3 linked regions of the Tribolium castaneum genome follow. The protein of the gene in region 2 purifies or fractionates together with the protein of the main gene of each other region. This does not show direct contact. Links are inferred from orthologs where the notes say so. Each region holds a gene or a part of one and is shown on either strand. Other genes may lie near its edges. The genes, in order: H/ACA ribonucleoprotein complex non-core subunit NAF1, Nop60B and pont.

Region 1 (10,946 bases), on a different chromosome or scaffold from region 2:
AGTTTTGAATGGAAAAATTCGCATTGAATTACGTAAAAATAGGGTGAAAATTGATAAGACTCTTGAAAAAAATCGATACATCCGATTTGGTGATATCTCCCGAATTAGCAATCCGGAAACGACCAGCATAATGTTGGAGTTGGAATGTGGTGAAACGGTGAAACTAATATTTGGAGCCGCACAGGCGAAAGAAGATTTTTATGAAGCAATTACTGTCATTAGGTAAAATCCTTATCAACAGTTACTAATTTTTACAAGTGGCTATAAAGAAAAATATACATAAACTTTGTATGTAAATGAATTTATGAAATTTTTTATGTATAATTTTTTATCTGCGTACTTGTTTTTTTTTCAGCTCCGATTCTGGAAATTCTGAGTAATAATAAATTTATTTTGTTACTTACTTGATATAATAAATTAATGTGTAAATTATAATATATTTTTTTGGCCTCCAGTACTGTAAAACGTGAATGACAGTTGCCCATTTATAAAAGGTAACTTGACCTTTAAACACGATGCTGTAAACTGGTAGCAAACAATTAGGTAAAGTAACCACAAAACACTGGACGATTAGACATGTTTAAGGTACAAACCGTGCTTACCATAATTAAGTTCGTATAACGAAATACTTGTTACCTATAATTATTTAATTCAATCGACCATGGTGTATATTTAATTAGTGAAAATATAAATCCCCCCGGAACAGCGCCACCTATACATACGTTTGGGAACCACAAATGTCATTGATTCAACCAAACCAATTCGAAATTTTACACAAGTTTATCATTCGGCGTATTATTAAAATATTTGGATAAAATGTCTGTAACATGGTATGTGAGCCTTGCTAGGATATTACCGCATTCGAGTGTAAATAGCTATTTTAATACTGTCACGTAGTGACTGGGGGTTTGCTCAGAGGTAGGGCGTCTTAATAAAAATACCGAGAGGTCTAATCAACAAGTTTACTTACAGACTAGTTAACAAGTAAAAATAAATGTCAATACAGCATGCCTACCTTTTTGGGGCTAGGTCTTTCAGGACGAAGTCCCAGCTCTTGGCGGCCCACACGCGAATCCCCGATAATTAATATTAGTTTAATAGCGAGCCAGCAAAGTGCTGACTCGTCTTAACAGCGACACACATTTTCGTAACAATACACTGTTGAAAACCAAATTTGTTTGGATATATACAGGTGTCCCAAAATTCGCGGAACAGCTGAGTGGTAGGTTAATAACTGATGCCCTGAAGTGGGCCAATAGAAAAATAGGGCAAAATCTTTGAAAAATGTTAATTTTAAAATATACCTTTAAAAATGGGGGTGTTTTCACGATTTTTTTTTGCTTTTCTGCTTACCCTTGAAAATCGGGATATTATAACGATTTTCTTTGCTTTTCTGTTCACCCGTGAAAATCGGGGTGTTTTTATGATTATTTGATGTTTTTTTAACTACCTGGAAAATCGGTGGTGTTTTAACGTTTTTTTTTTTGCTTTTTTGTTTACCCTTGAAAAGCAGGGTGTTTTGCTTGAAATTATTGAGTGTTCTGAAAGGGCTGTCTTCGTACCTTCAAATTTTAGACTTTTTGATCTACCTTTTAGAATTTTGATCTACCTTGAAAATCGAGGTGTTTTACCTTAAAAAGTGCTGTGTCCTCAAGGGGCTCACTTAGTAGTCTCAAAGTATGCATTAGCAACACCCAAAGCGTGATTATTTTTTGTGTTCTCGTAAATGTATCGTTTATGTGCAATTTGCCGCATATAATGTTATATGGGACAAGGAAAGCAATAAATAACGTCGTTTTCGATTTATTTATTGGCATCACACAGGGGGATAGCAAGCAAGGGAAGCAATAAAATTAATGATTAGAGAGAGTATGCCGTGCTACAATCAATTTAATTGGGGTAGTGGCTCTGAATTAATCCAGGACCGGACAATCTAATTTAATTGGGAATTAATAATAAGTTGATTACACGAAACCCTTTGGAGGGTATTGATCAAGCGATAAAACATTGCGTTTTCGGGTAAAAATTCAGGCCGAATCGGTCAAACTGCGGGGGAAATACCGGGGCAGGAAGTGGCTATGCGCTATTTTAGATAATTTCAATCAACAAAAAATCTACGAAAAGATAAGGACAGGGAAACAAAGCTCGGCTTAGTTTCAAAATTAGGGTAATTTTACCATTATAGAAAATACGCCAATAATAAAAAATCCCAAAATTTCACAGCAATAAATGAACAATAAAAAAAATTAAATAAAACAAATGTCTCAGAATACCATTTTTTGAAGGTCCCTGCCAATGGTGGAATTTTTTCTTTCAGGCATCGATTGAAAAATAAAACAAAATTATTTTCAGCTTAAAGAAGTTTCTAGCTAATTAGTAACAAATATTTTAAATTTTTGTTTGTGTGAAATGGTTTAAAAAAATAATTTCTACCAAAATTTTGGTAGAAACCAAAAAATTCTTTGCTACAACCTATGTAAAATATTGTAAATAATGGAAGTTCTCTGTTTTATTGTTTTCTGCTGCACAAAGCTTGTTTCCCTAGTTGTGGCAAGGCGAAGTACAAAATTCAGTTATTTTAAGTCACTTGAAACTAGTGAGTCGCAAATTAGCATAACTGGCTTAAGTGTCCATTTCGATGTGTTTCCGATAGGCAACAAGCTGCCGATTTGAATATAAAGCGTGAAAATGTGGCATTTTCCGTCCGAAATCGTGAGAAATGATCAATTGCGATTCGCTCTCGCGCTCATCTTTCACCCATTGAAGATAATCTCGCGGTTATTATTAGAAGTTGTTGAATTTTGACTAGACCGAAGACAATGAAGAAGGTCAAAGCGCACAGCAGCGCCGGCCTTCATTATGTAACAAAATCGATTTTTAAAATTCAAAATCGTTTACAATTTTCAATGGAGGTCAAACGCGCGTTTCCGCATCTGCGATGACCTTATTGGTGACAATATAAAAGATACCGAATCAGCGCAAAATAATTCTTTATCAAAAAAATCGACTCACGTCTCCTAGCAACTGAATCCCACCACGTGGAAGAATTTTTCCAGCTCGCGGGAAAACACAACACACCGTTTATAGGAAAAAACAGCTGATTTTTCACGGTTACCTAGCGATAATAGAACGAAGCGGGACATTTCGTCGCGATCGCAGTAAGCCGTGGTGTGCGTATCACAGCCTGCCGCGACTTGGAGAAAGTTTCGCGGCGCAAGGGATGCCAACACAAATGTTTATTAGAAGTAATAGACAATCTACTGAACAAACAACAGTCATTTGCATGGAATGAAACTTTTTTCTAAAAAAGAAGCTACTTGAGGTTTAAAATTCCTGTTTCTGAGTTAAAGGCAACACTTTGCTCTTTCAAGCCCGTTGAGGTACAATTATCGTGGCTCCTGGCGACCTGTTCTTGTTACATTACACTTAATCACAATTCTTTACTGCCACCAATTGCAATGACAGCTGTCGAAGTTAAAGGCGAGATTGAAAAAAAACAAACTTTTAAACGTTTATTAGAAATAATAGAAACAAGTTGCGAAACACAAATCAACTGAACATTCTCAATTATATGGTAAAACAACAACAGTCTTTTACATGGCATGAAACTTAGAAAAGTCGAAATTCCTATTGGTGCGAGGGCCCCGGATGGTTCAGATAGCTTGCGGAGTTGCTAACGAAATTATTCATGAAAAAATTTGGAGCGAATCCGAGACTAGGGCCCATGTTGTTGTTTTCGACGCCAACGTACTGGGCGATGGGTTGGTGGTAGTGTGCCATGTTGGGTGGCGGCACCGATGGGTCGAACATGGGCACAGCCGTGTGGATGTTGGGTGCTTGTGGCCGTTTCGATTTAGCTTTGTTCAAGCGCGCCTGCTTGTACGAATCCATGTATTTGTTAAATTTCGTATTGAGGATGTTCTTTCGGTTCATTGTCGTCTCGAATTTTTTGTAATTGTCGCTACTGTGGGTGCGTTTCACGTGAGGAGCTAGTTTTTTATTACCGTATCGCTGGTAACACTCGTTTTCGTCGTCGGAAAAATCGGCGAACTCGGGGGGGACTTCCGTGTCGTCCATCCAGGAAGCGTCACTACCTTTCATTCTATAGAAAAAAATTACTATTTTTTACAGTCGGGTTGTTATGACTCACTTGAGCAGCTGTTGAAGGAAAACGTATTGTGTGTGCTTGCTTGTAGGTGCGGAATAGACTTTTGTTCCAATCTCAATTTGTAAATTTTTTATGTCTTCAAGTGAATTGAAACGAATGGCATAGATAGGGGAAGTGACTTGGCCTAAAACGTCGAAAACGAAACCTAGAGGTCGCTTGCCGTTGTCTAGGAAGAGGAGCGTATCCAAGTCGTACGCTGGAGTGTTTGGAAGGGCCGCGATAGTTACTGGAAAAAATTAACGCAATTTTCGATTTTATATTAAGATAAATAAGATTATAAAAAATATGTCAAAAACAAAAGAGAAAACAAGTCGGGCGCTTAGAAGGCAAATTAATAAATTAATAAAAGTAAAGAAATAAAACTACAAAAGAAGTTAAGTGGTAGTTCAAAAACCAACAAAATTTCTCAAAAAAAAAATTAATTAATCGTAACAATTTTGGATGAAAAAGCTAAAATAATGTTCTCGAAAGGGCACGAATTACACCATTCAAAAAAATCAACTCGTATTATTAATTAAAAAAATTCTGATATGTTGTAAAAAAAACTCTACATTTTAATATAACAGCGCTTTTTCCTCAATAAATAAATAATAGATATTAATAGATAGTGCAAAGAGATAAGAAAAGTGGTTTTTCATAGTAGAAGGAACACGTCATAAATGGAAAATAATCAGTTTTCCTGATGACTGATGAGTCAAACACTAAATTTTGTAAATTTAGCAGATCTCAAAATTTTCAATAAATATTTTATTAGCATATTTTTTCGATAATGTAGATATGTAAACTGCAATTTATTATCGCCAAAGCTAATTCAAACTTTATGAATATTTAACCTTGCCTAAAAGAAGCAATTTTTAATTTTACCTGAGGTTTTATTTTTTCCATGGTTAAGTTAGTTCTAAGCCAGTTTGGTAATCATAATTTTACGTGAAAAAAATTAATTAATTAGTTAATAGTTAACACACAAGGTTTGTATTCAACTTTTTGTTTGGCTGTAGATATTTATTGAAAAATCAAAAATATTTTTTGTTAGACGCCCCAAGCACAGCCTCCTTGATTGATGAAGAATTTGAAATATTCTTGAAATTATAAAACAATAACTTGGGTATTTTATTTTGCAGTAAAAAAACACAAATTTATATTCGTGGTCAGTTTTCCAGTGATTATATTTCAGACAGCGGCCAATAATGTGTGCAAAACAATTTTATCGCCGATTTGATCCGAGTTTTAGTAGAATTTAAGTTGTTAATCACTTGATAAATATTCTATTTACAATGAGCCTTGCATTGTTACCGATTTGAAACGATAACAGTAAATTACGTCAGAACCCATTACTGCTGTTTCATTTTACCTAACTTATCCACAATCCCGAACACATTTCCCATATGCACAAAACTCTCATTTTCCACGTTAATTTGAAGCGATGACAAGTCCGGAACCGGGGGCAAATGTTCAATCCCTAGTTCATCACTGACTTTAGGTGGGCTTTTCTTAATAGCCCCCTTATTTTGTGTCGTTGTTTCAATGGGCTGTGAGTCATCGTCATCATCATCGTCCCCACTCGTTTCACTGTCCTCCTCATCCTCCGAAGACGAAGACGAGGAACTGGACGAGTCCTCGGACCCCTCCTGAGCCCTCCAATTCAGATTAAGCTTCATCATTTCGGAGGAAGAGCTCGAGTCGCTGTCATACACCAAAAGACGGTCCAGTGCATCAGATTCGATGTTTTTTATTGCAACACCCGTATTAGCTTCACACACTGGAAAAAACGCGTGAAAACTGTGCCTAAAACTGCTATTTTGCACTACCACTAGTGGAATTTGATAAATTCGTTGCGTTTTCTCCCTGTTGGTTGTCCATGTTTTCGCACTTATTTTCGTTTGACATGCTGTGAGGTGATAAGGGATGATCGGAATTTAACGTAAACTAACAATTAATCACTGTTATGGTAAGGAATACTGCGAACATTTAAGCGGATTTTGCGATTTTACTGCCATGTGGATGTTCTCATGTTTGCTAGCCGCCATTTGCAGTGGAAACTTTCGGCACGTGACCCAATTTGCGCCTCGCCATTGGCCGGCCTTCAAGGCCAGCTAAAGGGGCGCTTGCAACGATAGTGCACGCCACCCCTTACACAATCACTACTTTTACAAAAAAAGCGGACAATATTTACTATAATCCGTCTATAGTCTGTTATAACGCATTAATAAATGTGCTAATTATTATGTGTATGAGCATGAGCCATTCCGAAGAATATCTAATACCTAAAGAACCTATGATCCTATAATGCAATAATTAATGTTATAAACAATCTAACTGTTCAAATTGTTGTTGAACTATTTAAAGAATTATCTTTTATGGGTAGGTGCGGTCTTAAGAATTTGGTATCTGTATATTCACACAAACAGTTTTTGTGTTAGCTTAGGCAACCAGCAATACTGGTGACAATAAATAAAATTATAATCGATTTATAAATCTACTCTTGTTATCAGCGGCTCCTGTCTTGATAACAAGCTACCGTCATCATCCTGGGCACAAAAATTTAAGGTAAAACATCAAAAATTTGTGATTTATGATCGTCTCGTAACCGCCGAATAAAATTCTATTTATAACCGCGGAAAATTAGAAATTAGAAGTAAGAACGCGAAAACAGTCGAATTTTAAACACGTCTGAACTAATTGACGGAAATTACGGTGTTTTGCTTACACCGGCTCAATTTTTGAATTGTTACAAACGTGTGCCCATTGTTGGTTTTAATTAACAATCGGCAAAAACATGGAAAACGGGACTAGTGACAGTGATAGTACCGATGTTGAAAGTTTGAGTGACAGTGATGAGATCGATGAAGGAAAAAATGTGAAAAATAGGACGAAAAGGGGAATTGCGTGGTGAGTTAATTAATGGATTTCTGTTACGAATTCCAGTATTTTTGAAGTGATTCTATATTTAAACATTGATTGAGAAATTGACTCGGAAATGTAAATATTTATAGACTTGATTGAGTTCCCACACCTAAGACTCAAGTTTGTAATAAATTTTTGATTGAGTTAAAAAAATAACAAATTAATTTTGACGGTGAATCATCGCTTAATTTGTTGAATTATTACACTTCATAACGCGACTTTTATAGCACCGTTACTAAATTACATAAATCAAGGGCTAATTGATCAAGATAATAACAGACAACATTATATACAAAACGGTGAAAAAAATAAGGAACAGAAGAAATCTTCCAATTCAAAATAAGAAAGTTGGATGTAGCACAAAATGTACTATAACATTCAGAAAAAAATTAAAATTAAATTATTGCTGCATATTTATGAATAACCCTGTAGGTAAGTTAAGAAACGTATCATCCTTGTTGTTTTTGTCAAAGTTTATTACATAATTTAATTTTAATAAATTTTTATATTTGCAATTGCCTTAATAACAGAAATTTTTGTGCAGGTGCGGAGTGGAGGACGCTCCCAGTTCACACGCCTCTATTTCCGCGCCCCAAATTTCCTGGCCCCCCTCCAATCCCAACTCAAACTGGCGCCAATTGCGCCCTGTCCACTTCGGAAACCCGCTTTTCGGCACAAAAATGCAGCTCTATTCCAGAACTAGACACAACCTCGCCGTTTATCCGGACGGCGAAGTGCGGGGAACCCCCGACGACGACGACTTGCACAGTAATAAAAATTGTAGAAAAAATATAATATGCTTTTGCAGCTTATTTGGAGGTAATGTCGGCTGGGCACCCGGGCCACGTGCGCATTAAGGGCCTTTTGACAAACCTCTACGTCGCCATGGACCCCAAAGGGCGCTTGTACGGGGAGCCAGACATGACGGACAATTCTACCATTTTTATCGAGGCGTTTCAAGGCTCTTACAACACCTATCTCTCCCTAAAGTACGCCCATTTGGGGTGGTACATCGGGATAAAAAAATCGGGGAAGTTCAAGCGCGGGCCCAAGACCAAGTACGGCCAAAAGGCGATCAAGTTTTTACCGCGCAGATCTCGCTTTCAATGAAAACAGTATTAGCATTTGTTATATTTTTTACTCACATTTGTGTAATATTCCACACGTGACTCATTTTTAACAATAAATATTGGCAGATTTGTAATTTCGTTTCATTTTTTTATTGTTTCCTTGAACTGATTTCAGTGTTTACGTTGATTACATCGAAGTGTGAATTTTAGAAGTTGAAAATGGACGAAAAGCCAAGCTGGCATGGGAATGTAATGAGACTCAGGTCCGAAAATGGGTTTAATTTGACCATACAAGATGATGGGCACGTTTTGGGCACAAGGGATGATAATTTAGACAATGTCCTGGTTGTTAGTTCAAGTGGGGAGATTTCCCATGTCAGGATTCAAGGAGCGAAGAGTAAACGGTATCTGTGTTTTGACGATTCGGGAAATTTGTACGCGGAAGTAAGTTTGTTTCGCAAAATGAGATCGTGGACCAACTTTGTTATTAAATAATTAAACAATTTTTTGAAACGATGCTTTCATAGGAAGACAAAAATAAAGACGGGGCCATTTTTAAAGAAATCCTTCAAGGTTCGTACAACGGATATGTATCAAAAAATCATCCGGACTGGTACATTGGGATTAAAAAAGATGGGAACATGAAGAATGGAAAACGGACGCAGTGGGGCAAAAAATCAGTGAAATTTTTGCCCAACAGAAATGTATCGGAAGCGGAATTGCAACAGCTAGACTCCAGTTGATGTTTTAAATAATTGAGTATTTCTACGTAATAAGTATTAGCAGATGTTTAAGCAAAACCTTGAGCGATAGCTCCAAAATTAGATTCGTCTATAATTGTGAGAGGAAGTCGGATTGGCATAAATTTTAACTAGAATTTGAATTTCTTGTTTATTGGCGGTTTTACTTTGTAAAATTTTATTGTCATGTCAACGCTGTCCAATTATGTTTTTTTTCGAAGGCTAGGAAAAATGCTGGATATTAAAAAAACAAATGCAGTCACACAAAAGTTAGATTATTTATTTTATTGAAATAACGAAAGTTAGACATAATTCGTCGATTTCTTTATGTTTTCTAGTGAAATTTCTTAAGATAAGGAAGTTATTGACTCAGGTACGAGCTGAGTCATTGGCTGAAATCACCTATACGCACAAAAGTATTTGTTGTATTTTGTATTTATGTTTCTTTATATCTTTTATTTATGTATGGTGTTACATATTGTTTTTTTGAATATATTTTTGAATTCGTAACTTTTTAAAACCTCGCAAAATAAGTGAATTACTGGCTCAAAATTTTTAAAGTAGCGCTCAAAACTTGATTTAGCGAACTTTGGAGACAAAAACTGTGGAACTTTAGCTAGGTCGAGGATGAGAGGAGTGTATGTGTAAAAAAACAACTGATTAAAAAAGTATTTCTTTATTTCGTCTTAATAATAAATTAATTTAACATTTTGCAGCTTTCTCGTTTCCAACGAATACAAATTACAGTCATTTAACGAGTTACATTTCGCATTTTTACCTGTATTCCCGTCCCGAGATATACAAATCCTCATTATAGCCATTTCAACTCGTCGAAAGCCCCAATCACGACGTATTCTCCTGCACCTTGGCAATTTTTTTCCTAGCCGCCACCGGCGATTTATTTTTTTCCGTCCCGGAATCATTATCCGAACTCACTCCGTTCCGCATTTTACAATCTTCACTCACACTTTTACTCTTCCGTCTTTGCCGTTTATTGTCTTTTAAAAACTCACTCAACTGTTTAAACTTCTGTTCCCACGCCTCGCCCTGTCTTTGCACTATATCGCCATGTTTCAAGATAAAATCGTTATCAGTGGGCAACACCAACTCCCAGCCTTTATTATGACGAAGACGCGAGAAGCCCGTGAAGATTTCCTTCACCTCTTCCGAGGGGATCTTCATCACCGAGGAGACCTTTTTCCGCTCAACGTACTGATTTTTAGTGAATAAATACAACTGGAAGAAAACACTGAAACATGATAAAAACAAGACGATTGTTTTATTTTACCACATAATCCCGTGTCCGGCACATCAACTCAGCGGGGACCCCACTAGTTGAAGAAAACGTGTTACTGGGGTACAACACTTCACTTTTCACCACCCAATTACCCCTAACTAGGACAGCCACCTTGGGCAAGTTCTTCAACAAGGTTTCAGCCGTCAGACCTTCACCCCCTGCTAGAATCATCAACAGTTGTTGGAATTGTATGATTTGGGCGTCTTTGAGCAAAACCCGGCACTGTTCTAGAATGGGGGACGCCCTCAAAGTGTGCAAAGACATGATGTGAGAGGGCGAAGACGGCTCTGTTGTCCCTTGCCCCTCATCTTCAGGAACCAAAACCCGGATATAATCCAAGTCTGGCAAATTCATAGCCTGGCCCGTGGGTTCGGTATTTTCCGCAATCAGTTTCAACTTTTCCACTTTACTCAAAGAACTATTTTCCGTGTGCACTTCACAGTTCGTCCAAGCTTCATCGACACTTTTCATCTCCGAAACTTTGTCATTTTTGGATTTCTTCCACCGATCATCACTCTGCTTGAACTTGACGGTGATCAGCTCGGCAGTGCTCGGCCCCGCCTCGTCCTCATCGCTCAAATCGTTATGATCTGCATCTTTCCGTTTTTTCGCACCTCTATCAAGGTAATTAAAACTGGGCCTGAACTGAAATATGTTGCGCAACGTCGTCAAATGTATCTCCCGGCCTGTGTATGCCAACGCGGCGTATTTACTCGGCTCTTTGACCGCTTTGGACGACTTCAGACTAACTTTATCGACCAGATCAT
Region 2 (11,083 bases):
TTTTCTTTATTTTCCCCACAGTTTCGCTAGCTAAACAAAATTAGGTCAAATGTAATTATTTTTGCCAATTTTAACCGTTTTACCACGTTTTTCGTCCAGAAATATTCGATTGTTTTTCAAAACGTTGTAAAAAAACTTAGCTCAGAAATCACTAAATTAGCTTAAAAATAAGGTAATTTTTTGCGTAATTTCGCTAATATAAAAAAACATATGTAAAATAAATAGAAATAGTTTTATTGGTGTTTAAAAACAGTGCGTCATAACACGTCAATAAAATAAGAAACGTGCAAACTAAAAAAAAATCTACAAGTCACTGAAATTGCAGCGAAAATATTCATCAAAGTCATAGACACAGTTCCTAAATGAAAAATCTTTTAACTTTCTTTTAAAAACATATAAAGGTAAATTACAAAAATTAGTTGGCAACATATTATAAAATTTAAATAAAAGCGTTACTAAAGCTGAGAAAGGTGTTATTTTTACTTTTACTGAAGATTCCAAAACGTTTTTTAAACAAAAACGTAATTACTTCGAGAAAATTCGTCAAAAATAAAACCTATTGAGAATAGTATTTTTACCTTTTTCAAGCATGTAAGCGCGTTTCTGAGATAAAACCTTAATCTGTTTGCGAGTTTTCCGTATAATTGGACACAAAAATCGCAAAAGGTAAAAAATGATATTATTTTTACCAATTTTAACCGTTTTATTAGTACGTTTTTCGACTAGAAATATACAATTATTTTTCAAAACGTAAGAAAAAACATCGGAAATCAATAAACTAGCCTGAAAATAACGTATTCTTTCTAAATTTCATTAAACTTGTAGCGTTTTTGGGAGTTTTAACAGTTTTTATAAACAAGAAACGCATTTATCTTGCAAAGTTAGTTACAAAGAAGTCGAAGGATTACCGAACAAAGCCAAAATTAGATCAAAATGACATAATTTTTACCATTTTAGCACGTTTCTCGACCAGAAATATTCAAAACAAAAGAAAAAAGTTGTGAAATCACTAAGTCAGCCTAAAAATAACGAAATTTCAATAGACTAAATAAAAAATAGACTGGTGATCACTGTAGCGTTTTTGGGAGTTTTAAAACACAGTTATCTCTCAAAATTTGGTCACAATGAAGCCGAAAAATTACCAAACAAAGCCAAAATTAGATCAAAATGACATTTTTTTACAAATTTTAACCATTTTAGCACGTTTTCAAACAAAAAATATACAATAATTTTTCAAAACGTTATAAGAAAAAGCTGGGAAATCACTAAATTAGTCTGAAAATAGCGTACTTTTGAGAAATTTCGCTAAACTGAATAAAAAAATAGACTGGTGATCATTGTGGTTTTTTAGAAGTTTTAAAAAGCAGTTATCTCAAAATTTGGTTACAAAAAAGCCGAAGAATTACCAAACAAACCCAAAATTAGGTCACAATGACATTATTTTTAGCAATTTTAACCATATTAGCACGTTTTTCGACCATAAATAACAATTATTTTTAAGAAAAAATATGAGAAATCAGTAAATTAGCCTGAAAATAGCTGAATAAACTGAATAAAAAATAGACTTGTGATCACTGTAGCGTTTTTGGGAGTTTTAAAACACAGTTATCTCTCAAAATTTGGTCACAATGAAGCCGAAAAATTACCAAACAAAGCCAAAATTAGATCAAAATGACATTATTTTTACAAATTTTAACCATTTTAGCACGTTTTCAAACAAGAAATATACAATAATTTTTCAAAACGTTATAAGAAAAAGCTGGGAAATCACTAAATTAGTCTGAAAATAGCGTACTTTTTGAGAAATTTCGCTAAACTGAATAAACAAATAGACCGGTGATCATTGTAGTTTTTTGGTTTTTGGAAGTTTTAAAAAGCAGTTATCTCAAAATTTGGTTACAAAAAAGAATTACCAAACAAAGCATCAGGTCAAAATGGCATTATTTTTAGCAATTTTAACCATATTGGCACGTTTTTCGACCATAAATAACAATTATTTTTAAGAAAAAAGATGAGAAATCAGTAAACTAGCCTGAAAATAGCGTGTTTTTTTCCGCAATTTCGCTAAACTGAATAAAAAATAGACGATCATTGTATTGTTTTTGGGAGTTTTAACAGGTTTTCTAGATTACAAACGCAGTTGTTTTGCAAAATTTAGTTACAAGAAGCCGAAGAATTGCAAAACAACGCCAAAAAGCAGTTTTTTTTTCGAATTACAATCCTCCAAAACTAGTTGAAAAAAACACCAAATCATACTGACCATGATATTCTATTTGAGATTGATTTCCTCGATTTCATTCTTAATTGAGCCAAAGACGCATTTATTTTGCACATTCTTGTCTAATTATTGCCTTTTTTTGAGCGTTTCAAAACGTTTTTTCGTCAAAAACTTAATTATTTCGAAGAAAATCGTCAAAAATTAACCAAAAAAGGATGTATTAGAGCTAAAATCCTAAAATCTTTCAGTAAGGTTAAAACATCCCAATTTTTTGCGTTTTCGGGGGATTTAGGACATTTTGTTGCGAAAAATAAGCCGAAAATTTGCTAAATCAGGTTGAACTTTTTTCAGCTAAGGGCTTAGTTTATTCCAAGATTTCGCATATCTTCACAAAAATGCTATCATATATGATTTTTTAGTGTTCGAAGCGTTTTTTAATCCTCTAAAACCGAATAAAATTATCACCAAATGGCGTTTCATTCGATTAGATTTTGAGCCGAAAGTTGTGCAAAATCTTGTGAATTAAAAACAGAAGTGTCTTACTAGAATCTTCCTCTTGCTCATCACTTTCTAAAAATGAGCACAAAACACTGAAAGTGGTCGACCCTCGCACAATTTCAATTCGAAATTCAGGCTTTGACTTTAATTCTCCAAATTCTGGATTGTCCATCGTCGAATCCACTTTAGGTAGTTCATCAGAGTCTACTGTGTGGTTCACATTGAAAGTAATTTTTATCCTAGAAGTTGCCACTTCATAACAAGAAATGAGACGCATTTGACTCACGTTTCATTTTCAACTTTTTTGTTCAAAGTGACTTCAGACCCGTTCAACCCCACTTTAAAACCCTCAAGCTCGGCTGGAAGCGTCACCGACTTCTGGGCCTTCCTCTCCAGGACAATCTCCTCAGTGAGAAACTCAACCAGTTCACGTTCGGCTACAAGTTTGTTATTCCTCCAACTTATTGGGCTCACTTACGTACCTTTACTGTGTGCATGCTGGTGCCTGCTCATGCACCCACAAGTGCACAACTTGCTCAGTTTGTTTTCGGACTCATTGCGATTGCACATGTACCAAAGATTGCGCGCAAGTTGCCGCTGCTGGAAAGTGTTGGACACTTTTTTAACCGGACTCAGGAGCGTCTTGAAGCTGAGTCTGGACGCAACTCGAAGCAAATTATTCATTTTTATACTTAGTTTAGGCGAAATGCGTGAAAAAACCGGCCACAACACGTGCTATCAAAAAAACTGTCAGAAAAAAGCGACGCGCAACCCAACGCTACGAAAATCCCCAGAATGGCACCAACCCACAAACGATAATCACTAAATCGTCACCAAATTCCTCATAGGGTTGCCACACCTGTCCGGTTTTCACCCAGATGATTGTCCGGTGTCCAGATAAAATGTTAAACCGGACAATAATTGGCCAGTTTTCTTATAGTAATTAAAATTTTGTGGTCTAAAATTAAAATTAATGAAAAATTTAGAAAACTCTTCGATAGAACGATTTTTAATATTTAAAAAAAATCCTGGATTGAATTGGAAAAATGTAGAGTAATCAACTTCTAAAAATTGAAATTACATTTTGCAAACGGGTTACCGTATATAATTTTGCAAAAAAAACAGCTATAGAAGGGTACTTACAGTTGCGTCATATGTTATATTTCTTCTAAAACTATTGGCATTTTTTTTTAAGTTTTGTAATTAACTAACACATTCTGAGTTATTTGCCAAAAAGTTCGTAAAACTTTGCTAGAGTGAGTTTAAATTTTTTTTCTTAATTTTTGTGAAGGTAAGTGCCTTGATTATTAAAATTTTGAGCAAAAAATTTCAAAATTTTAAATGAAATAAAAAATGGACAATAGACTTTTGGTTTTTGATAAATATTTTTTTAATGTAAAACTTTATATGCCTCTGTACCTGGAACCGTTGACCGAAGCGGCTCCGGGTTTTGGCAAGAAAATAGATAATTTTAGGCGCTATCTGATGCTTTTTTGATTTTAGTTCTAAGTCTCAGTGTTTCCGAAAAAAAACACAAAAAAAAAGATTGCAATTTTTACATTTTTTAAATTTTTAAACACCGATTACAGCGCATAAAAACGCCAATGTTTACCAAAATAAAATAAAAAAAATAAAAGAAAAATCGTTTAAGACTCTAAATAACCGAAAAAACATTTCCCGCCATTTATTTCATTTAAATTTTTTTCAGTAGCGCCACTTAAAATCTGTCAAAATTGTTGTTAGTTGTCAAAAAACTAACCCTACTTTCTGTGTCGGATGCACGTGTTGGTTATTTTCTAAGCGATGTCTGAGTTTGGTAAGTTATTGTTTATTATTATCTTTAACGAGGCTTTATTTCGTTCTTTGATAAATAATTAGTGGTAGAAATGTATTTAGAGTTTCAAAAATAATGATTTTTTTCAAAAAACCGGCCGCTTTGTCTTATCGTTATTTAGAACGCAATTTTGTGCAGAGGCGGATACGCCCGTTAGGGAGAAGAAAAAGAAGAAAAGCAAGGGCGACAAAGACTTGGGGAACCTTCAAAAAGGCTCCGAATTTGCAGTGGAGCCCTCCTCAGTGATTGCAAAGTTGGACAGTTCCAAGTGGCCCTTGTTGTTAAAGGTGGGTTTTAAATTCGGTTTTTCGTTACATCAAAGCGTGATTTGCAGTATTTTGACCGTTTGAATGTGAGAACGAACCATTACGTACCTTTGCCGTTTGGTTCTTCCCCTTTACGAAGGGAAATTTCCGATTATGTTAAGTCAGGTTACATTAACCTGGACAAGCCCAGTAATCCAAGCAGTCACGAAGTTGTAGCTTGGATTAAAAGGATTTTGAAAGTGGAAAAAACAGGTCATTCGGGTACTTTAGATCCGAAAGTTACAGGTATTAAACTATTTAATTTAATTGAAATCATGTATATTTAATAATTGATTTAAGGTTGTTTAATTGTGTGCATTGAACGCGCTACCAGACTGGTTAAATCCCAGCAAGCTGCAGGGAAAGAGTACGTGGCTGTGTTTAAATTGCATTCAACTGTACAGGGAGGGACCCCAAAAGTGCTCCAAGGGTTGGAGAAGCTCCGAGGGGCCTTGTTTCAAAGACCCCCATTAATTTCGGCCGTTAAGAGACAGTTGAGGGTTCGCACGGTCTATGATAGCAAATTATTCCAATATGATGAAAGCCGAAATATGGGTAAGATTTTTACCAATACAAAGGACTAAAATTTTGGAGAAACACGACGCTCTAAAATGCAAAATAATGACCCTTTCGATTTTTCGTTTTTCATCATTTCGTGAAATATTTGCTCGAAAAAGTAAAAAATATTGATTTTTTTGGCACAGCTTGACAAAATTTTGCAAAAAAAAATAACTTCTTAACTACAGAACGTGCTAAAATGCTTGAAAAAAAATATATATATCAATATATCGGTAAGTATTTGATTTATTTTTGACGATATTTCGAGAAATAACTTTGTAAGGTGTCTGAAACTAGTGATGTTAGGCTTAATCTTGGCAAATTTTTGTGGAAATTTGCATTTCTGCGCCTGAAATGTGCTCGAAAAGACAAAAAACGTAATTTCAGTTCTCTCAAAGAATGCAAAAATAATCCTAAGATTTGCGGCTCTGGTGGCCGATTAATTTTTGTCGAAATTTTGAGAAATAATTATTATTATGAAGGTGAAAAACATAATATTTAGTCCAACTTAATGATTTTTGGTACAGGTTCATAAAAGAAACTAATGAATTTTTAATCTCAAAAAGGTCATAATAACACCATTTGGGATCTACTTGTAATACCTGTGACTTCGGTTTATTTTTGATGAATTTTTGAGAAATTAATTATGAAACTTTTGAAAAAGGCGAAATAATATCACTAATTGCAACCGAATTTAGTAATTTTTCGGTTTATTTTTTGCAAAATTTTGTGTTTTTTGGGTTTAAAAAATTTTGCTCTTATTTTGTAATTGTAAATTTTTAATTCAAAAAAGGTGTCAAGAAAACTGGGAAATTGTACAGAAAACCCCATTTTTAAGGCGTAACAGTGACTTTTCAGTTTATTTTTGACAAAATTTCGAAAAATATTAAATTTGCTAGTAAAAAGCATAATGTTATTTTTAACAGAATTTAGTCATTATTTGACTTATATCGTGCAGAATTTCGAAAAATAACTATTTCTTATCTAAAACGTCCGTGAAAAAGTAAAAAAATCATTTTCGGACTAATTTAACTAGCTAAAACTTTCGAAAAAAGACATTTCTGAGTGAGTTTAGTGACTTTTTGGCTTATTTTAGGCAAAATTTCATAAAATAATTGCGTTTCTGGGTCCCAACGCGCCTGAAAAGGGCAATAAACGTCATTTTTGGTCTTATTCATAAACAGTGTGACAAAATTTCGAAAGAAAATAGAAGTTTTTAACTAAAAAATGGGCGTAAAGGCCCGAAAAATTTTATAATTAGTATTTTAGGGAAAATTTTTGTGAAATAATAGTTTCTGTATCTGAAACGTACTCAAAGAAGGTGAAAAATTTCGTAAACCCCAAATAATACGTGCTAAACCTTTAGAAAACGACAAAATGGTGTAATTTTTTATTGAATTTTGTGATTTTTCGACTTTTTTTGAGACAGTTTCATGAAATAAATTATGTCTATCTCTGAAACGTGTTCGAAAAAGGCAAATTTATCATTTTTTGTTTGGTCCAATTTAGTTGCCTGACAAAGTTAATAAAACTTGTGAAGGTGAAGTTGACGATCGCCCAAAAAAAGTCTCAAAAAGACAAAAATAACGCCATTTGGCAAAATTTAGAGAAACAGTTACGTGTTTAGCTCAAACATTGTCTGAATTTCGCTCGAAATTTGTACTTTTTAACTTATCTTTATAATTTCGTAAAATACTTGTGACATTGGGTCTCAAACTTGTCACAGAAATGAAGAACACGTCTATTTTAGTGAATTTTTGACACAGTTTGACAAGATTTTACAATAAAAAACAGAAAGTTTTAACTCAAAAACGTGATAAAATATTCGAAAAAGTATGTTTTGACGAAGGCAGAAGATTGTCAGTTTCATCAAACTTTCTGGTTTTTGGCTTGTTTTTACCAAAAGTTCGTAAACCAATCTGAAAATCGCTTAAAAAGACAAAAACGTCATTTTTGATTTATAATTTAGTATGTTTTCGTACAGTTTCACAAAATGTTTCAAGGAAATCACCTAAAACGTGCTAAAATTCTTGAAAAATAAATACTAAATAAAATAAATAAAGAAATAATGCCAAGTGTACATTTATTTCTACTTTGTATTTTTTTTTCTTATGTTCTCGTGGAAAGTTTGACCTTCAATTTTTCCCAGCTTAGCAAAAATTAAAATACTAATTCCCCTATTTTTTTTCAAATTGCATTAACTTAAGGGTATAAATTAAATGCAGAGTATTTTATTTAAACAACAAGTATTTTTGTTCAGAAAAAATGATAAATTGATAAAGGCATGGTAAAAATAAGAAATGTATAGTAAAATAATAAATGTACAGTAAAAATAATAAATGCACAATAAAAATAATAAATGCACAGTAAAATTAATAAATAGTAAACAGTAAAAATGATAGATGCTAGGTAATGAGCGTTTATTATTTAAACTGTGCAAACTGAAATAGATACTGTGCATGGTTTACTTCTCATTTAAATTTTTTACTGTGCAAAATATTAAACCACTCATTAATGTGCAAAAATTAATTAAATACACTGATCATTTATTATTTTTTACTCATCAAAATCGAATTTATTACTGATTAGAACAGTTAATTAGAACAGTTTGGATGCCTAAAGGGCCTAATTTTAGTCCTGTCTTTTTTAAACTTTGAAAATGTTTAATTATTATGCATTATTTTAGGCGTGTTTTGGGTTAGTTGCGAGGCTGGTTCCTACATTCGTACAATGTGTGTTCATTTGGGTTTGGTTTTGGGCGTTGGAGGCCAAATGTTGGAACTTCGAAGAGTTCGTTCGGGAATTCAGAGCGAACAAGATCAAATGGCCACAATGCATGATGTTTTAGACGCTCAATGGCTTTACGAGAATCACAAAGATGAGAATTACCTGCGACGAGTGATTCGGCCTTTGGAAGGCCTTTTGGTCAAACACAAAAGGATAATTATGAAAGACAGCTCGGTAATACATAATTTCCCACTAACTTATCAATTAACAAACAAAACTTTTCTACAATAAATGGCATAATTTTAGGTAAACGCGGTTTGCTATGGAGCTAAAATTTTGCTACCGGGTATTTTACGCTATGAAGACAATATTGAACTTAACGAAGAAATTGTTATTGTGACCACTAAAGGGGAAGCCATAGCACTAGGGATTGCACTGATGACCACTGCAACAATAGCCAGTTGTGACCACGGAGTTGTCGCGAAAATCAAACGTGTGATAATGGAACGAGACACTTATCCAAGAAAATGGGGCTTGGGACCACGAACAAGCCAGAAAAAAATTCTTATTGCAAAAGGACAGCTCGACAAATACGGAAAACCGAACGAAAATACGCCCAAAGAATGGCTAAATAGTTACGTTGATTATTCGTAAGTGTTTTTAATTTTGCGCAAAGTTTAAAAACAATTCAATAATTTTTTTCCAGTGTTAAGAAAGAGGACACCAAGGACGATGAAGATGATAAAAAAGTAAGACGTTTTTTCGTTTTATGAGCAATTCATTGTTTGTTTTCAGCGTAAATTAGCGGACACGTCAATGCAGTCCGATACAGCGAGTCCGAAAGAGAAGAAGAAGAAACGGAAGAAGGTCGAAGGTGAGGAAAGCACTGTTGAAGAAGCGACAGCAGTGTCAGAGGAAACTGCTGAAGATAATGGGGTAAATGAGACAATCAATTATTATTAAATTACCTATTGCACTGTTATTCTTACAGGAGGAAAAAAAGAAAAAGAAGAAAAAGAAAAAGGATAAGAGTAAAGATAGGGAGGAAGAGGAAGCGGAATGAACTATTTTGTTTTGCATTTTTATATTGTAGCTCTACAATACTACATTAATAGAATTAAGTTTAAATTCTTTCTAAGATAAACACAGTCGTGTTAAGCGAAAATAAATGCAATTTTATCGTACAGGCTTTGATTTTTCCAGTTTGATGTAGTGGTACAAGTGCAAGAAATTTGTAGGTATACCGGGTGTCCAGTTTGGTAATTCTATATTTTTTTTGAAATGGTACATTTTTAGTAATATTTATGACACTGGTATTTGAGTAATGGTTCATTTTTTATTTTTTTCGATAATACTCCATCTTTCAAGTAAGTATAAAACAATGAAATCAAAAAAATATTGATAATGGTTTTACTTTTCTGTTTTATATATTTTTTTCATAGTCTGGAGGACTAGGTTTTTTGATATAAACATGTACTAAAAATTGTTAAAAAATTGTCACATTTAAAGAAATTAATAAAAGTAGTTGCCTAGTGTTTATAACAAATATTGACGTTAACAATATTCTTATACAGGGTGCTCAAAAACTGGCGCACCAACTCAGTGGTACGTTATTGAGAAGCAAGTACAGATTACGGGAAAAATGTTGAAAAAATTCCCAAAGTTATATTTTAAAAAATCTGGAGCTACAAACTTATTGTGTTAACTTCTTTAGTTTTCATTATTTTTTTATATTTTTATGTTTCATACCAGGTAATCGTTCCGTAACAAAACGATGAATAATTATTTTTAAATTTACTATCAGATTTTAGCAGTTTTTTTAATTTAAAAAAATTAAAATTCATCCAAAAAATCACAATGTGTAGATGTGCCAACACTGGGAATTATTTCCTAGGAAACCGTTTCAAAAATAATTTATTTTTATTGTTGCTCAAATTCTATTGCGATCATGACTGTTAGACAATGTTGCCACATATCATTTATATAAAATCCATTATTTATCAATAACTTTAATACAAAGAATTTTTTTACTATTTTTACCTTTATATGTTACCAATTCTCTACCACACACCATTGAGTTGGTGCGCCAGTTTTTGAGCACGCTGTATGTATTGCAACTAAGTCGCAAGTATATTTGAAAAAATATATGAGAGTTGGTTCGACACTTTTAGATCACCCTGTAGACTTTATTAACTTTTATAATTATAATTTTTTTAATTTGACATGTTTTTAAACAATATAATTTTTAGTAAAAGTAACAGGGTGGTGCATTTATGAAGTCTTTGACATTTCGCTAAAATGTCAATTTTTGTTTATAAGTCGAAAACAAAAGACGATAGTGGAATGCGTTTGACAAAAATTATTTTCTCAAAATAAAAATAATACATGTACGAAAAATAAAAAATATATCTTCCTGATTATGATAAAATGTAGGTTCCCATTGGAAATAATATCAAACATGTTACGAGGGGGCGAATACCAAACTGTATCACCTAGTATTTCAAAAATAAAACAAATTTGTTTAAAACTGCATTTCTACCATGCTTTAAGTTCCTAACCCAAGTGACCTGTGACTCAAATTAAGTTGGCAACGAAATAGGTGACAGCGTTGCCAACTTTCTTTTGAACTCATTGGCCACTTTAATTAAATCAATCTTTGGTGAGGAATGATTTGAATTCGCAGGCATTCTAACATCTAACACAATTTGACCAGTAACCTACCGTTCTAAATTTTATTAAAATATACACCACGTTTAACATTTATGTGCCAACGCAATAAAATTACACATCAAATTGTGGATCTTCAGTCATTTCTTGCACTTGGTGATGGTTCTGACTACTCACAATGGCTGGGTTTGAGATTATGCTTGAACACATCCATGAGCACACGAAAGACGACCAGGGTCAGCTATTTTTTTGTGGGGGTTTCCTCTCCTGTTCAGT
Region 3 (11,079 bases), on a different chromosome or scaffold from region 2:
GCACTTACACCAATTTCATTATCAGTGTCTTGATTATCAGACAAGGGCAAAGTGGAATTGGGGGCAACCCAGAAATAAAAACACTTTAATTTCCTTTATTAGTAGGCTATATTTTTTATACAAGACGACTACTCTCAGATAGAGACGTACAAAAATGTACACAAGAGTAAAAGTTGGTTTTTCGCAATATTTCACACTATTCTTCCACACGTCCACAGTAAAATCAGAAAGCGCTTCTTGTTATAAAGCCCTTATTATATTTTTCGACGATGGCTGAGACTTTGTGACGTATTTGTTAAACGTAAGTTTTCAAATACATGCCATGCCAGTGCAAAGGAGTTATATTAACAATTTTACGGGATTATTTTTAACTTTACACCCATTCTGCTTAAAACAAGAGTGGCTGCCAGGAAATAACAACGAAAAAAGTGGACCCAAAAGGTTTCAGCTGCAAATTATAAACACTATCTGTGATTTTTTAAATAAATTTTTTAATAATTAATAAAAAACATGACAAAATTAAGCTTTTCGATTTCGTTTAGTTTGAATTTTATATGAAAATAGAAAAGTTAACCAAGTATCTGTAAAACTCGTGAACTTACTTTGAAGTAAACAGTGGGCTCCATCTATAACTCATAATTACTTGAACCGCAATTCCCATCATCAAAATGTGCAAAACTGCGATAAGTGAGGTTATGCAGTTATGCACTTTGTTTTCCAGTTTTTCACACAAAATATATCACAAATTGCACAAGTCGTATAACCAGCGATAGTCAGTACTGTCAGTACGTCACAGCAGCTTTCTCCAGCACAATCATTGACTGCAATTCTGTATTGTGCCATTCCCGTCTCATCATATAATCTGAGTAGTTGTTATATGACAAGTAATGTTTCTACCTTCAAAAATACTTGCGTAAATATGTTATTATCCCGTTAGTACACACTTTTAAAGCAGCCACTGGTTATATAGATTAAAATTATAACATTTCCTTTGTTATTGTGTTATTGTTTACATCAGTCAGCTGTTTACTGTCATTTTCTAATGCTACCAATTTAAAAAATGTCCCTGTTATTAAAGCTCAAGGACCACAGAATGAGAGAGAGAACAATTTTTTGTTCACATAGACGCTGAATACACGTATAAATGTCAGAAAATTCAAATTTTTTATGTCCAAATAGAAATGTCCCGGACTGTAACTGAATACTTGAACCATAATGTTTAAAATAAATATTGATAAAATACAAATGCATATTAAAATATTAATTAACGAAATTTTATTATTTATTAATCAATTATTATTTAATAAATAATTTATTTTGAATTATAGGAAATACTTGTAAAAAAATTTCGCATGCACAGAGAAAAATATTAAGTACATATCCGTACCTTATAGAAACTGATTTCTGAGTGATTATTATGGTTTTGAAGATACAGTAATAAAACAAGTTCACTCCGTATATTTTTTAAAAGAAATACATATTTCAGTTTACCTGTTTTATTAAAAAAAATAAAGAAAACAAGTAAACAGTCGATAGTCATTAAACAAAGTTTGATGCTCGGAAAAAAATGTTGTAGTAATTTGTTCGGATTATAAAGATTTCACCGTAATACTACTTTCGTTTCATTTCGATGAAAATTTTCAGTATTTTTTTTAATAAAAATAATTTTTGCAGCAAGCACAATTACGCCAAAGTTTTATTGTAAAAATGAAGCTGAATTTCAATGCACAAACGATGATTTAAAAAGACAATTAGAATATTTAGATGTAAAAGGACCCAGAGAAAAATACCACAACCCAGTCACAGAAAATCAAAGGTAAACTGCAGTAAGTATATATTTTTATCATATGAGGTTACATAAAACAAGTTAGTTTTACTTTATCATGATAACGTAATAAAAAACTAAAAACATTTTGACACCGTGCAGCCTAAGAATAATAAAGATAAAATACTAATCAGGTGTTATAACAATTTCGTAAAAATCAAATTAACGTAACCAACAATCAATAGGACTAATAAAAATTTAAATAAAAACATGGTCGAAAGTTCTCTGAAAAATTTATAAACATATGATGAATAAAAATGTCAATACCCGTCACTTATCTGGCAAATTTAACAATATTTTAACACAATTTACCCTTTTTTAACATTTGTTCATAGCACTCCTGACCACGCTTTTATGTAGACGCCCCATATGAACTACGTCCAATACAAATAAATATGTCAATTTTTCTGTAAATATTTTACGATTTGTAGCTAAATTAACTTTAAATAAATGCATTTTTTACAGATATGGCTGGTATCAAGTGCAGTTAACAGATCTGGACAGGTCCGACAGACGACTCCACTTTGCCAAACAAACAAATCCAATTGTGAGAGAACACTTAATGAATTATGAAAATATACGTTAAATTACCTGTTCTTGACCCTTCTCTACTAGCCCCCAAGTCCAGGTCAACCTTTTCCACGGTTCCTTCCCCAATAGATTCATCTGCTCGTGTGTATCCTAAAATTATTAATTGAAAACAACTCAACCCCAACTAATTTTTATATTTACCGATTAAAAGCAGCAAACTTATCGCTAAAACAATCAACTGCTTCATGTTTTCAACAAAAATGGACCTTTTTAATTCATTCAGAAACAACACCGGCACAAACGTGACACCACAAATCAAAACCAATTTCCGAATGATGACAAGACCGGATTCTAGAAGAGTTTACACCGAAATGTGTCCAATCAGCTCGCACCACGCTGGATGACGAAAGAGTTTACTGTCCTCTCATCCAATCATAGAGCGCAAAATCATCACATATACAACTGGCCGGTTTGGATTGGTTTCACGAAACGCGCCAGGTTTGAATCTAGCCAGGACTGGAGTCAGCCCAAAAAAACACAAAATATCAAAAAATGGTTTATTTAAAAAGTTACATCATAAATTTTTCTTTGTTATCGGACAAGATTCGAGCCGAAGACTTAGCATCTAAAAATAGAGAACTAACTTCTTCAACGTCAGCTTTAGTAATGTTATCTCGGCCGTTAGTTTTGGCCGTTAAAGACGCGGGAGTAAGTAATTGTACTGCGTATCTTAATGTGGCTCTCGATCCCACATCGCCCAAAGTCGAAAGTGCCTCCGCTTCAATTTCCAAGCCTTCTGTGGAAGCTCGCAATTTCAAAATTTGTTCCAACTCAGATCTGGAATATGGCAACGTGCGAATTATTACCAAACGGTCCAAGAGATCCAGTGGAATCCCGTGAGGGGCCACAATGTCATCAGTGCCTCTAATTACACAGCGCCCTCTATTTGTTGCAAAAATAACGATGGGTGCAATGGCACTTTCTAAAGCTCTGTGTAAATAAGTAAAAGTTTCAATATCCAACATGTGGATTTCATCAATAAAAAGTACACCGGGAACTAGCTCGGCTATGCCTTGGTCAATGTATTTATCAACGACTTTGTTTATTTCACGCCGAAGTTTATCGGTGATTTCGGTTTTCTTTGGTTTTAAAAGTTGGCCCATCATCGAGAGGACGTCTTGTCCTCCTTGAGGCTTAGCATTTGCGGCGTCCAAATCGTGGAGAGTTACGTCCTAAAAAAATGTAAATCAAAGTAAATAATTTGTTTCTTACTTTTTCCACTCTCTAAAGCAATTTTATTTTCTTTGCGGCCACTTCCTGGTGTAATTTGGGTATAATTCGCTGGTGTAAGTCACTATTTCAACAATTCTAACCGATTCAAGAGTCACTAAGATATTTTAGAAATTTACACTAGAGTGTGGGCGCTAAGAAACTGCACGACTTTTATATACGTAAATTGGACTGAAGATTTTAAAATATTTTTTTGACTTATATACTTATTTGCATAATTCTCCAGAATGTGCTTCGCAATTAATAAACAAAAAAAGCTCAAAAAAGTAAAAATTCATTGATTATCAAGCAAAATTAAATAAAAATAAAGTGCAATTCATTTTGTAAAAATACGAATTTATAAATTCTCAATTTATAAAAATTGAAATTGCGCTAAAGTAATAAAGCAATAGCCTTTAACTAGGCTAAAATAGCACATTTTTTAGATACACATTGTTGAATTTTCCGCTTATTTTTAAAAAAATTCCTCACATTAATTGCTTTCCCACCTGAACAAGAGCTAAAAAAATCGAAAACAAAATTAGTTTTAGTATAATTTACCGATTTTTTTGTTCCATCTTAGAAAAATATCTCGCAATAATTGAGTTTTTAAATCGAAAATATGTTTTGAAAGCTTGAAAGAGGCCAAATTACCTTGTTTATATATTTCTTTCATTTCAGTATTTCTTCCACTTATTTTTGACGAAATTTCGCGACATAATTACAATGCCTTGACTAGAAAAACCTATCTAAAATGTCCATAAATAAAATGGGACACATAATGTCATTGATTACCTAATCTAAATCTCGAAAAACAACGGGATTTTTAACAAAAAAGTAGTTAAATCCTCAAAAAAAGAAAAATATATCACCATCCTCAAATTAAAGTGGGTTTATTCGGCGTATTTTTGACAAGATTCTTTCAAATAATTGCTTTTTTGCCTACAAAATCAAAATAAATTTTTTTTGACTTAGTTATTAACTTTTATGCGAGTCTTTAAGTCAAAAAAATGCTAAAATAAAACACATTCTTTAACGTAATGTAGAGTTTTTTTAATTGAGTTTCTGACTAAAATTTTGCTAAAGACGTTTAACATAGTTTGATGCAGACGAAATTTCTCGAAAAACATTTGTCGTTTTCTGCTTGTCTAGCGAAAGCAACTAAGTTTTTAGCCTTAAAAAGTACATTGTGATCATTTAAGTTTATAATTAGAGTAAGCTTTATTATTACTTTTTTTGAAAACGCTGATTAGTGTAATTAAAAAAGCTGAAGAATATTATTTATTTAGACTACAATTTTTTACCATAGTTTGGACCAGTTCCAAAGAAAAAAAAACTAGCACAGTACTTAAGCACTTAAAAAGGCAAATGTATAGCACATTCACAATGTAAAGTGCTTTTTTTTCGGCTTATTTTTAAATTTAATTTCCGGGAAAAAATGAGTTTCTAGTTGAAAAAAAAAAAAAGATAAAATAATCAGATTTTTTACTTTTGGAACAGTTTTAAATACAGTGTGATTCAAAGGCAGGGGACAATCTCTGGGGTGCTGATAAAAGACATCAAACTGAATTAAAAGTTCCTATGACAAAAAAGTGTTTGAGTCTTTTTTCACGAGATATAGCTCTTCAAAGTTAAATTTTTAAGTTAAATTATTGGTGCATCAGATGATATTTTTTTTGACTTTAGTTAGCGGAAACGAAATTCGATATCATAGCAAACAAAATAGCAAAAATGGATACCTAAGGAAAACAGTTTAAAAATATATCAAAATTACTTTGCTTAAAAAAATTTGAGTTCATTTTTGTGCTTAACTAAACTTCGTTTTTTACTATACGAGCGTTTATTCGTCACTTTTGAATCACGCTGTATAACACAATGCGGTGATGTATTGAAATTATTGTGTTTCCTTTGAAAACAATTTGGTAAAACTCAAAAATGGCAAAAACAAGGTTTTTCACATAATGTGAAATTTTGACCAAACGTCTCGAAAAAAATTATTTCTGACCACAAAATGCTCGAGAAACGTAAACATAATGTAATCTTAAGATTGATTAATATAATTTTGCTAGATTAAGCGAAAACTAAAAAAATACTAAAAAAATCAACTACCTAAAACCGTAATAAATTTTAAAAGGGTGAACAATCCAGAGAAAATGTAATGTTGGTGGCATTTAAATTATATGAAACACCCTGTATAATTGCGTTTCTGGATAAAAAAATTGCTAATACTCCACAAACGTCAAAAACAATGGGCTTTTTGACCATATTTAATTATTTCTGCAACAACTTTACGTGACAACACCAATCTCTTAAAAATAACTGTCACAAGTGTAAAATTGTCTTAAGACAAAAATAATGTATGTGTGAGTAATTTAGCAATTTTTCAAAAACATGATTAAATTTTGTTGATTTATTTGTACTGTTCAGTTTGTCTTGAAACTTGAAAAAAAACACGGAGCTACCGTTTATCCAAAAATATTAAGAGCGGATTATACATACTTGAACCACCTCCTTCTTTTTGTGAACTTCCCCCTTTGGAAGCGGTACATATTCCTCAGCTTCTAGATCAAACTCAGTCGCATATCCATCAGATCTGCCTTGACGCTTAACAGCCCCACTATTGGCTTCAATATAAATAACGTCACCTACTTCGACTTTTTCCTTCTGAAGGGCTTCATAAATACTGGGGTCGAGTTTCAGTTGTTTGCTACCTTTTGCAGTTTTCAGGCCAATAATTACATGACTTACTGTCTTTCCATACCCTACAAAACCAAAAGAAATATATAGAACATTGTCAAAGTGTCTAAAAACTAAAACCTCCAGCAGGATTCTCCGTTTCAACAGGAGTCAATTCAGTAACTTCCCCCTCATAAACCTCCTTAGTCTCCCTAATGCGCAGCCCTATGGCCCTCCGGAAATTCTCCATCAACACCTCCGTCTTCTTAATCTCAGAACTGTAAACCTCGGACCCCACCATGGGGCAAAAGGGCACCTTATTACCCAGTTCTTGCGCGATGGCCAAAGCTATCGCAGTTTTACCGGTCCCAGGGGGACCCGCTAGAAGCACAGCCCGTCCGGCCATTTTCTTACTCCTAATCATATCCACCACAATCCCTGCGGCCTGAAACCACTGAATTTAGCCGAACTCTGATTAAAAAAGACAAACCTAACCTCCCTAGCCTGTTCTTGGCCGACCAAGCCGGCCGCTGTTGGCAACGCGAAACCATTCTCATCTAACCCTAAACCTTTAATGTGGCTGTGGGCACTTATTCGTTGCGTTTTCACCGTACTTTTCACTTCTTCAATCTTCATTTTTGGAAAACACGCTAACCAAACTTTGCTTGATCAATTTGAGTTTTATTGTTGTGATGTTGGTATGGCAACAACCGGTTGGAGAATTTTGGAGCGTTGGGGTGGTCATAGTGACCATTTCAAATTCATTTTTGATTAAAAAATCGTTTTTAATATTCTGTTCGAACTCAGCAGTCACAAAGTGATTTTTGAAATGTTTCATTATAATACTATGACCTAGTCAAATTTTAAAGAAATTGCGAATTTAATTTTACATTGATCGAGTCACCTGAGACACCTGAGAAATGGCATGTCAGCTCAACATGACAGAACGGCCATTTGTCAATTATCACAAAATGGAAAACTTTCTAATTTTCCTTTAATGAATCCTTTCGATTTTAACGATCGGTTAATGCATTCCACAGGTGAGTATTTGGCGTGTTTGTTGTCTCTTTCTCAAATTGCGGCTGTCCCTGTCTTGCAGGTTCGGCCAAAATCATGTGATCGGTCGAAGCTCCAATGACAGTCGCTGACTGGAGCTCAGTAAAATCAGTAAAATACTTGGTAAAGTCTGCTTAAACGTTAGGTGTCAGTGTTTGTGGATGAGTGAGTGGAAACAAATACAATTGATCGGAAAACTGCTTGGTCACGATCACTCAATACTTCTTGTGAAAAGTGCGAAAAGATGAAGTAAAATGGCACCCAGTTTTAGCAAATATGTGACAAGAAACAATGCTCTTGCAGCCGCTGGAGCATCGACAGCTTTATTATGGATTTTAATATCACGACGAAGAAAAAATTTGTACAAACTGGACAGGTATGAAAATTGACCCCACTTCGAGACTTGTTTGACTCCGGTTTTGTTCTAGGAGAAAAGTCAGGAAAACCGTGGATGAAGAAGTGAAATATTTTATATCTGAGAAGAAAGAAAATAGGATTAAGGCGCAAGTTGATAGGCAATTTCTTAAGCAACTTAATCACCTACTTAGAATAATTATCCCAGGATGGACTTCACCTGAGGCGGGATTTCTATTCCTTGTAGCTGCGAGTTTAGTGGCTAGATCTGTGTGTGATTTATGGATGATAGATAATGGAACGAAAATAGAAAGGTAAATCGAACAATGAGTTGTTGGTTACTTCAGTTAAGGAAGCTTAGAGGTTATGTAATTGCATTCCGAATCTGAACTTTATGTGATTAAGTAAAGGCGTCAAATATTTATGCCGTCTTAGCCAACGGTTTTGGTAGAAATATTTTTGCTTTTTTACCGTGTTATCATCGTGACTGGATATTTGTATAAAGTCACCGATTTAATTAAAATTCATTAACCTTGAGGGGTTCATTATCTGTCTGAATCTAAAGAGGAAAAATACCACCAATATTTTACCGTTGTGATATTGCTGTTGACACAGCTTTCACCCTACAGTTGGTATTTTTTTAATAACACGTGTTTCATAAATTGCTTCGCATTGCCATTATGTAATATTTTGTTTCCTTGTATTGGATATCTGTATACAGACCTGGATTATTCATTGCGATTTTTTATGGTAAACATACGTAGAGAGTTGCTAAGCTCTGAATGACGTAAATGTATGCATTGTGCATCGTTTTTAATGAGAATTGTGCTCATTTGCTGATGGAAATTTTATTATTTTAATGAACTATGTACTTACCTTTCTCTCAAAACAATCAAGATTAGAGATTTTGTTTAATTACGTTACGGCAAACGTGTCTTATTGACAATTTCTAAGTTTTGAAAAAAAGTACAGACGGATTTAATATTAGCGAATAAATTAGAAATTATCATTGTGTTGATAGCAACAACATAAAAAAGTTGTGATAGCGTATTGTTTACAATGAATTAACAGTTTTGGGGAGTAAAAATTATTACATCGAAATAAATTATATTTTGTCCTAATCGTTACAGAACTAAAACATTAAAATACGTGTCATGTAATTGTAAACTGAGTTTGTTGTTTTTTTTATAAATCATTTACATGAAAATTGTTACTTAATGAATGAGAACTTTACAAATGTGCGTTTAAAAATGACTTCAGATAATTACTAATTAGATAGGTATATTATTTAGGAGGTTGTAGTTAAATTCTGCTCAAAAAAGTACGAATGAAATGTTAAATTTTTAATTTAATGAGTGCAGAAAACCATACGAGTTTTACAAGGACACATTGTCTAACAAGTTGATTACATTTTTTTATAATGGAACAAAATTAATGAATCTCATGGACTTTGAACCATGAAGAAAAGAATTACTATTATTATTTTCGATTTTAAAAGACAGGTATTGTAAGAGTACTAAAGTACGTGTATCTATTAGGTATTTTATTTCGACACTTTTAACATTTAACATGAGACTTAATGAAAATTAAATACATAGTACTTTATTAGTTGTAAATTTTCGTAAATTTCGGTGTGTAAGTATTTGTAAAATTTTGCAAAATAGATTACTTTTCTGTTCCAAAATAGTTCTCACATTTAGTAAGATGCACGAGATATACGCCTATTATTTACTCGTTTCTTACAGTACAGTTTCTAAACTACATATTTTTGTTAGCTACCTGCTTTAGTACGAAATGCGGTTGACGAAGAAAAACAACTATATGGTGCTTCTTAAATTTATTAAAAAATTGTTATGCAAATACACACAAAAACTGTATGCAATATCAATTATTACTACCACAACAAACGAATTTCTTGTTTAAAAATTGACACCAGCCCACCTGCAACTGATTCTCAGCCTACGAATGTGGCATTTATCATGGATAACCCTTTTCGGGGGCGATTAATGATTATGGATGATTGTTTAAATTACTGCTTGTTTAATACATATTCAGAACATTTTCCATTTTATAGTAATACTACCAGGTGAGCAATCTTATCGACCACCTAAGAAAGTCGAGATTTCTAGTTAAATAAAAAAAATATTGTATTTTACACGCCTGATTGTAAGGTATCGCCCCTAATTTTTTGGTAATTTTTCACTTACAGATAAAGATAGTAATTAAAAAAAAAGTAATTTTTGACCAAAAAGTTAAATTCTGAATTTTATACTAAACCACGCGTATTTTATAAGGTTGCCTCACCCAGTATGTAAATTGCAATAAAAAAAATTTGATATTGAGTTCTATTGGAATGTGAACGTTTAAATAAAAATAACTAACTAAAAATTGTTATCTTGGCTAGAGAAGAGATCCGGAACAACTTTATAAAGTTTTAAACAGATTGATCTGGATTAATAAGTCCCTTTTTGAAATCGTCACAAAAATCATCGTTATCGATATGAAATCCCGTCTATTAAGTTTCACGATATCGATGAATTTCGTCTGTACACAACATTTGTTTGGGTCACTGTGTCGACCACAATGACGATATCACTTTGCAATTAGCAACATGGAAACCAAAGCACTTATTAATACGATTTATTATAAATAAGTACTCCTTCCTCTAGTATTTATGGTGGGTAGTACGTTTTTTTGAATTTTTCATTTTAGAGTATTAGAAAAATACAAGTTGGTATTAAGATTTTGATAAAGGAAACGCATTGTTTAATCAAGGCCGTTGAATATGTTTTGAATTGGGTATTGAGATATCCATTTAAAAGTGTAAAATATTCAGAATTGATAATTTCACAATGACAAAATAAACTAGAATGGCAAAAAAGAAAAATATTAATTGACATAATTTTGGGCTTAACACTCTGTATACTCGTACTTACCTCAATGTTTATCAATCGTATTATGATTTATGAAGTATGCTTTGTGGAGAAATAAATATTTAAATACAGAGGGTCGAGTCAAGTCTCAAATGGTGATAAAAAGTTTAATTGTTTTTCCGTAACCACTGTATTAATTATTCTTTTGTTGTCGTATTTAATTTAGGTATTATTGAGTTTGGTATGTAGTTCTGCCTGTTTAATGTTGGAAGATCTACTGCTTAATTATAAATTGAGTTTTCACCTCGTAAAAAAAGTTTAAATCATTTTTGTATTAGAAATTTTATCTCAGATGTGTTTTAACACCACCCAAGCGATGTTCCGGGGGTCTCTGAATCACACTGTATTAAAAAATGATTTGAACATTTTACTTTGAAATATTACGAAAATTTCAAGCAAAGATTTTGAAAACGAAACATAATTTTTTATTAAGTT

Evidence for each region.
Region 1: the proteins of Nop60B (region 2) and H/ACA ribonucleoprotein complex non-core subunit NAF1 purify together in Homo sapiens (co-immunoprecipitation; 7 studies listed by BioGRID and IntAct, counting the BioPlex papers as one, with this or other methods). This does not show direct contact. The link is inferred for Tribolium castaneum from reciprocal best matches to the Homo sapiens genes DKC1 and NAF1.
Region 3: the proteins of Nop60B (region 2) and pont purify together in Homo sapiens (affinity purification with mass spectrometry; 4 studies listed by BioGRID and IntAct, counting the BioPlex papers as one, with this or other methods). This does not show direct contact. The link is inferred for Tribolium castaneum from reciprocal best matches to the Homo sapiens genes DKC1 and RUVBL1.

What each region holds. Positions count from the first base shown.
Region 1 is NC_087399.1:2,907,830-2,918,775, reverse strand, and holds H/ACA ribonucleoprotein complex non-core subunit NAF1, read right to left. Parts: upstream 6,225-10,946; 5' UTR 6,056-6,224; coding exon 5,977-6,055; intron 5,928-5,976; coding exon 5,520-5,927; intron 4,395-5,519; coding exon 4,151-4,394; intron 4,103-4,150; coding exon 3,628-4,102; 3' UTR 3,500-3,627; downstream 1-3,499. Other genes in the region: fibroblast growth factor 1, read left to right, coding at 6,945-7,057, 7,617-7,840, 7,881-8,182; fibroblast growth factor 1, read left to right, coding at 8,362-8,586, 8,670-8,885; Polr3E (DNA-directed RNA polymerase III subunit RPC5), read right to left, coding at 9,726-10,118, 10,171-10,946. UniProt on the Homo sapiens protein: RNA-binding protein required for the maturation of box H/ACA snoRNPs complex and ribosome biogenesis.
Region 2 is NC_087394.1:7,764,114-7,775,196, forward strand, and holds Nop60B (H/ACA ribonucleoprotein complex subunit 4), read left to right. Parts: upstream 1-4,415; 5' UTR 4,416-4,519; coding exon 4,520-4,532; intron 4,533-4,688; coding exon 4,689-4,837; intron 4,838-4,884; coding exon 4,885-5,101; intron 5,102-5,155; coding exon 5,156-5,410; intron 5,411-8,099; coding exon 8,100-8,374; intron 8,375-8,446; coding exon 8,447-8,790; intron 8,791-8,846; coding exon 8,847-8,889; intron 8,890-8,935; coding exon 8,936-9,076; intron 9,077-9,131; coding exon 9,132-9,203; 3' UTR 9,204-9,324; downstream 9,325-11,083. Other genes in the region: P32 (complement component 1 Q subcomponent-binding protein, mitochondrial), read right to left, coding at 2,762-2,955, 3,003-3,153, 3,199-3,400; TP53-regulated inhibitor of apoptosis 1, read right to left, coding at 11,045-11,083.
Region 3 is NC_087395.1:13,827,532-13,838,610, forward strand, and holds pont (ruvB-like helicase 1), read right to left. Parts: upstream 7,018-11,079; 5' UTR 6,938-7,017; coding exon 6,797-6,937; intron 6,747-6,796; coding exon 6,443-6,746; intron 6,388-6,442; coding exon 6,125-6,387; intron 3,589-6,124; coding exon 2,926-3,588; 3' UTR 2,900-2,925; downstream 1-2,899. Other genes in the region: Gp93 (endoplasmin), read right to left, coding at 2,417-2,506, 2,558-2,603; Abcd3 (ATP-binding cassette sub-family D member 3), read left to right, coding at 7,612-7,733, 7,786-8,025. UniProt on the Homo sapiens protein: Possesses single-stranded DNA-stimulated ATPase and ATP-dependent DNA helicase (3' to 5') activity; hexamerization is thought to be critical for ATP hydrolysis and adjacent subunits in the ring-like structure contribute to the ATPase activity.